Linked DNA regions of Cricetulus griseus. The protein of the gene in region 2 binds, or shares a complex with, the protein of the main gene of each other region. Links are inferred from orthologs where the notes say so. Each region holds a gene or a part of one and is shown on either strand. Other genes may lie near its edges.

Region 1 (4,291 bases), on a different chromosome or scaffold from region 2:
TGCAATCCCAGCAGTACTTGTCAAGTGAAGGAGAATCAGGAATTCAGGGCAAGTATGATTTACATAAGACCCTATCTCCAACAACAAAAATGCTTAGTTAATACATTTTATAAAGATAATGGTGTTAAGAAACAGCTCACACAGAGGCTTGGAGCCTTTCTTTCCTCCTTCCAAGGAAGTGGGGTGTGTCTTAGTGGTGATCCTTTGATTTAAATGCCAGTGACCATCTGCGACTATTTCTGGGATACAAGATTTAATTCCACAACCCAACAATTTTGCAGTGCAAACCCAAGTTGGTTAACGAAGACAAATAGCATTATGACTTTAGTCCACACCACACAGTAACTCCAAGTTCTTTCCCTCCTTCCCCAGTCTTCCACTCCACCCACGGGCATAGCTAGCTTGCTTCCTTCCACCAATTCTCATCCTGTTGGTGCCTTCCTACCCACCCTTCTCCACTTTTGTACTTAGATGTACGGGATGCGTCACTAAACCCTACATCACCGGCCCTCAAACAACTCTTGTTTACAAGGTCGCACAGGCGCCAAGCAGATCCTTTCCTCCTCTCTCGGCTTTCCAGGGTCACATGATGTTTTGGTTCCGATCTACTCCGGAGGGAGAAGGGGTGTCTGTCACACAACACATACACTCGGAACTTTACCGGGAAGGAAAAAAGAAAGAAAGAAACCAGCTAGCAGTTAAACTAGACTGCACGGGCACATTTTTCAAATCCAGCCCACTTCCCTTTAGCTCTGCTCACCCTCCCCCCCCCACCTGGTGCCCAATTAAGCTTCTTTAAGAGTGGAAGGAGTGGGGCGAAGAATATCGGGGTGGTTTGAGAAGTCACGAGGACGAGCTCGTGGAAAGCAGGCCACCAAGAGGCGACAACGAGGAGGGCAGAGCTGCTCCTGCTGCTGCTGCTGCTGCTGCTCGGGGACCGGAGCCTGCAGAGAGCCTCGGGCAGGGCGGAGGGAGAGCCCTGCTGGCGACAAGCTGAGGATCAAAGGGCCGCAGGGCCGGCCGGGGCTGTGGAAGCCCGGGGTGAAGGGCAGCCCTGGAGCCGGGGCGGCCGCCGCCGCCGCCGCCGCCGCCGCGGGCGGGAAGCAGCAGAACGGCGGGTGCAGCGGGCCGCGCGCACCTGCGAGTAGGAGCACTTCTCCGAGTCGCTGGCGCCCAGGACGGCGCACGCCTCGTTCTCCAGCTCCTCGTCCTCCTCAAGCACGTCCACCAGCGACACCACGGGCTCCAGCTCCGCCGGGCAGCCGGCGGGGCTCTCCGCTCCGGCCATCCTCAACTGTCACAGCGCTCCGCGGCGCGGCCCAGGCGGAGGCGGGAAAAGGGACCGCCTGCGGGGGGGGCGTCGCGAGGAGGCGGGGCCTGATCGTCAGGCAGCCAATGGTAAAGGTGGAGATGGAAGAAAATGGGCGGGGCGGGTGCCGGGAGTCGGAAGTCATGCCTTTTACCCGTCTCTCCCGCCCGCGCCGGCCCGCGGGGTGGCTTCCGCTTCCGGGTGGCGGTTCTCTGTGGCGCGCCGTTGAAGCGAAGGGGTCGCCATGGAGCTGACGGGCGAGTACGTCGGGTGTGACGGCGAGCCCCGGCGGCTGCAAGTGTCCTGTGAGGCGTCGGGCGACGCGGACCCTCTCCAGAGCCTGTCGGCGGGTGTGGCCCGGATGAGGGAGCTGGTAGCCGAGTTCTTCGGGCCCCTCGTGGAGCAGCGGGACGCGCAGGGCGTGACGGCAGATCCGGAGGACGCCGAGGAGGGTGAGCGCGGGGCGCCGGGGTCTCCGGCTGTGTGAGGGAAGGGCTGGCAGCCTTGGCACAGCGAGTCTGGCCGGCCGGCCGGCGCGGGCGAGCAGGAAGGCTCGCATCTGAAAACGGTTGGCCCTCTCTGCCCCGCGTTTTCCACGACTCTTCCTTCACCTCAGCCAGAAGAGCGTGGCGAGCGTTTGCCTGGGGGCTGGACAGGGAGCCGGGTCAGCCCGACGCCTCCCGTCTTGCGGGGCGCGGAGGACTGAGACCCGCAGAGTGGAGCCTGGGGGCGTGGGGGGTGGGCTGGGCTGGGGGTCTGCAGTCGCTGCTAGCTGGAAGGAAGACCTAAGGGGCGGCCCGTGGCGCCAGTGGGGGGGAGTCTTCCCCAGGTGTGAAATTAGAAACCTGTTTGGCACAGCGGGCACAGCTTCGGAAGGTCGAGACCGACTGTGTCGTGGGGAGTCTTAACCCTCAGAGGGTCCTTTCTCGAGTCTGTTTTTGAAAGTATAAGGGGGTTTCGGTTTTGCTGTGTGGGTGTGGGTGTGTGTTTTAAAGTCACCGATAGTCTCATGCGTGCATGTAATGCGCTGTGGTCATTTTCTCCTTCTCTTTCGTCCCCTGCTTGAACCATTCCCGATGACACACACACACACACACACACACACACTCACACATACACACACACACACACACACACACACACACACACACACACACACACGCCGCTTTCTTTTCTGCCTTCCTTTTTGTTGTCTCTCACTGAGTTTAAGGTTCTTTGTATGAGAAGGGGTGGATGGTTATTTACTGGAGCAAGGGCAACTCAGCGGTGACTACACCACAGAAGAAAACGTCAGCTCCTCCCCCAGCACCCATTAACTGTCAAAAACTCCTCCGGGCGGGATGGGACCCAATGAGCCCCTGTTGAGGTTGCCGTCTCGTTCAGGTAACCACAGTTGTTGCCCCTGTGTCCGAGCCATGTCATGGTCAAAAGAAAGTTTCACCACAGCCATTCCCTTCCTCTAGCCCCTACTATCATTCACCCCCTCTACTGTTGTAGAAATAAACTGTTAGTTTTTTGGGTTTTGGTTTTTTTTTTAACAAGGTGGATGTTTTGCCTGCCGCTTACTTGTGTCTGTGCACCACTGCTCTATGCAGTGTGCTCCGAGGCCAGAAGAGGGCATCAGAACCCCTGCAGGCAGTGGTCTTAACCACTGATCTCTCCAGCCCCAACTCTGTTAATAGAAGAAAAAAAAAAATTGTAGACAGTGTCACAGGGTACCACTGGTTGGCCTTGGATTAGACCAGGTTGACTTTGAATTCGCAGAGATCTGCCTGCCTCTGCCTCATCAGTGCTGGAATTAAAGACATGCACCACCAAACCTGACCTTTGTTAAATTTTATTTTTAATCTTGAACACAAAAGAGATTTCATTACTCTGAGCTAAGGAGTCAGTTCTTCTACAGAGGAGATTAAACTGTACTGTTCTTTATAATAGGGTTATTGACTGTCATTAAGAAGAACAGTAAGTAAAATCTGGGGATGGTTGTGGTGCACACCTTTAATCCCAGCATTCGGGAGGCAGAGGCAGGCTGTGAGTTAAAGGCTAGCCTGCTCTACTGAACGAGTTCTAGGACAGCTAGGGTTACATAGAGAAATCCTGTCTTGAAATAATAATAATATTATTATTTAATAATAATAATTTAAAATAATAATAATAAAGTATTAGCTAGGTGCATTGGTCAGGGTTCTCTAAAGAAGCAAAACCTATTGATAGAATATCTTTGTTAGAGTGCCCTTACAGCCTGTGGTCTGAATAGTCCAACAGTGGCTTTCTCCTTACAGAAACACCAAGGATCCAGTAATTGTTCAGTCTCTGAGACTGGATGCCTCAGCATTCCTAATCTGGTGCTGGAGTCCCAGCAAAGTAGGTTATAACACCAGCAAAGAGGTGTCTCAGGAATAGATAGATGAACTTGCTAGTCAGAGTAAGGGCAAGCAGGCAAAAACTATAGTACCCCAGTTACACCACTAGTTCTCCAAAGTTAATTGGAAATATGTTTATACCAAAACTCAATAATTGTAGTAGCACTGTTCATTAATAGCTGTGAAATCAAAATAATACAACTGCCCATCACCAGAGTAAAACATGAGCATTCTTTTAATTGTTGAATAGTATTCATTGTGTAGAATAAAGTATTTGGCTGGGGAGATTGCTCAGTGGGTAGAGCTGCACAAGCATGGGATTGTGAGTTTGGCTTCAAGAACCCATGTACTGCCATGTGCCCATAATCCTAGTGCTCCCTGCTCCCTGCTCCCTGCAGTGAGTTAGGGAATAGAGCCAGGAAGCATAGTGTATGCAAAGATACATTACCCCCCCCCTTTTTTTGTTTGTTTGTTTGTTTTTTAGGGGGGATCAAGACAGGGTTTCCCTGAGTAGCATTGGCTGTCCTAGAACTCACTCTGTAGACCAGGCTGGCCTTGAATCAGAGAGCCAGCTGTCTCTGCCTCCCAAGTACTGGGACTGCAGGTGTGCACCGCCACC
Region 2 (2,659 bases):
TCGATCCATTTCAGATACTTGTGGCAGCAAACAAAGCTGTTCATCTCCACAAACTGGGAAAAATGAAGACAAGGACTCTGTCTACTGAAATTATCTTCAACCTCTCCCCAAATAACAATGTAATGTGGTGACTGACTTTATTTCTGTTGGTCTTGTCATTGTAGAATGTGCCCTCCCCCCTGTGTAGCAGTGGGGGCCGGGTTCCTCCAAGCCAGCTGTTAGTACTAAGCCAAAATAGTTTCATAGAGAGGTCTAGACAGCCATTTAGTACTGCAAGTAGCTGTGGAGTCAGTTTCCTGGTCAAAGGTTAAAATACTTGAGGATGGTATTATCTGCAATGCCCATATTATGTTAAGTAGACCCCTGAGCAATTTTGCTTAAGAAACTGGAAGAAACCCACACTATAAAACATGAGGTATAGATACATTTTGTGTCAGTCTCCCTGTAAACTCCTAGAGATGGGCTGTGTGTCTTTTTTTTATAGTCAGTACCTGGAACTTTCTGTGACCTGGTAGAGCAGTTGATGCCTGCTCACTCACACACCCAGGGCATAGAAAAATTCATGGTTTGAAACCTTCATAGGAATGCAAACCCCCCCCCCCACCTCCCAGGTTTGGGTGTGTGCTTGAATGTGTGTGTGTGTGTGTGTGTGTGTGTGTGTGTGTGTGTGTGTGTGTATGTGTGTGTTGTATGTGTGTGTATATGTGGTTGTGGTACACAGATTCATGTGTGGGAGTGTGGGGGCCTGAGTATTACAACATGATTGTGAAGGTCTAAAGGACAACCTCAGATGGTCCTTGCCTTCTACCTTTTCCAGACAAAGTCTCTTTGTTTTTCACCACTGGGTACACCTGGGCTTCAAGCTTCTTGGATTCTTCTGTCTCCACCTCCTATCTTGCTGTACCAGCACTGGGGTTATAGACCATTGCTGTTGTACCTGACTTTTCATGGGCTAGGGATTTGAACCAAGATCCTCACACTGGCTTGACAACTGCTTTACCCACTGAGCCATCTCCCCATCCCAGGAGTGCTTATTAAATGGGAGTTGTTGAGGTGATGACATTCTGTGTGTGACATGGAAAAAGATGCCTGACCTCAGCTGATGAGGTCCCAGTATTACTGCTGCTATTAGTAACAGCCAGGTACTAATATCAAAGGGAAGATTTGGAACCATATGGCAAGAATTAAATCACACTTGGTTGCAAAGTTTATAAAATGCAGTCAGCATGGCAACAGAATCCCCCATTAATAGAACCATTGGAAATAATTGAAGACACCATTCCTGATCAAGACGAAGTTCTAGGGACAGAAGAGACAAGTGTGATAGCAGTTGCTGGAAAGGGATTGTAGAAGGGGAAAGTATGCTCTGAGAAACAGGGAGGCTGACGAGCAGGTCAGAAGTATTCCAGACAGAAGACACTGACTCATTTGCCTTTTTTTTTTTTTTTAATCATAGATTTCAGAGGCTTTGAAGAAATTTGGTATCTCGGAAAGTGCCACTTCAGTTCTCATTGTTTACACTGAAGAGGGAGAGAAACAAATAAACCAAGAACACCTAGTATCTCAAGTGGAAGGCCAACAGGTTCCTTTGGAATGTCTTCCAGAAATAACAAAGCTCTCAGAAGTCAAAAAGGTTTGTAATACACGTTTTTTAAGAGTTCAGTAGTTGAATTATACTGATGCTTTTTGTTCATCACTGTTAAAAATTTTGAACTATTCCATTAACTTTAGTTAGCATACAAGATAATGGTTTCATTACCTTTTCACAAATCCTATTACTGCTTTTACTCATATCTGCCTCCTCTCATATTCCCAATATCCTTTGAACTTTTAAGTAATAGTATGGGCCTGGAGAGTTGACATAGCAGTTAAGAGTCAGCAGTTATTCCAGAGGACCTGGGTCTGATTCCAAGTCCGTTCATAACCATCTGTAATTCCAGTTCCAGGGAATCCGATGCCTGCTCCTGGCCTTCGTTGGAACTGCACACACATAGTACACATATATAGAGGCCAAACACCCTTACAAGTAAAATCAAGAGAGGTTTAGAAATATTAAAATAATTTTGCAGATACTTCATAAAAGAAAAGAACTGGGACCTACAAGTTTGTGGAATGTAATTTGGAATAGAGTCACAGAACTGTAAGAAAAGGGATCTCTTTCAACATTCAGTGACTGTGTGAGTTGATATCTACATGTGTACTCAAAACTGATACAAATGGGATTTGTGTGTTCAAGAAATTTGTTTTTTTATATTAATACTTACACTTAAAAAGGATATTTGACATGTGTGGCAAATAACCACCTGCTTTGAACACTTTAAACATTGTGAATGAAACCATTAATGCCATAATAAAATGGTAATGCCACGTGGTAATGTATATGTAATAACCGTGTATGGACTTGCCAGCACTCATAGATTGTCATTCACTTTTACAGATATATAAACTGTCATCACAAGAAGAGAGTATCGGGACATTATTGGATGGTATCATTTGTAGGATGTCAACAAAGGATGTTTTATAAGATGCCCAAAACATCAACAGAAAAATCTGAGTTAATCACCAGCTGTTTTTTTCCTGGTTATAAAATTAACATATCACTGAAAATGGGAAAAAGAAACCACTACTAGCCCTATTTTGTTTTCACTTCTTAAAGACA

What was found. The genes of interacting proteins can lie anywhere in the genome.
Region 1: Tprkb (region 2) and EKC/KEOPS complex subunit GON7-like share a complex: the UniProt entries of both Homo sapiens proteins name them as parts of the EKC/KEOPS complex. The link is inferred for Cricetulus griseus from reciprocal best matches to the Homo sapiens genes TPRKB and GON7.

What each region holds. Positions count from the first base shown.
Region 1 is NC_048598.1:103,312,456-103,316,746, forward strand, and holds the start of EKC/KEOPS complex subunit GON7-like, read left to right. Parts: upstream 1-1,491; 5' UTR 1,492-1,553; coding exon 1,554-1,761; intron 1,762-4,291. Other genes in the region: putative E3 ubiquitin-protein ligase UBR7, read right to left, coding at 1,139-1,288. UniProt on the Homo sapiens protein: Component of the EKC/KEOPS complex that is required for the formation of a threonylcarbamoyl group on adenosine at position 37 (t(6)A37) in tRNAs that read codons beginning with adenine.
Region 2 is NC_048601.1:74,424,875-74,427,533, forward strand, and holds the end of Tprkb (EKC/KEOPS complex subunit TPRKB), read left to right. Parts: coding exon 1-119; intron 120-1,456; coding exon 1,457-1,633; intron 1,634-2,069; coding exon 2,070-2,144; 3' UTR 2,145-2,159; downstream 2,160-2,659. UniProt on the Homo sapiens protein: Component of the EKC/KEOPS complex that is required for the formation of a threonylcarbamoyl group on adenosine at position 37 (t(6)A37) in tRNAs that read codons beginning with adenine.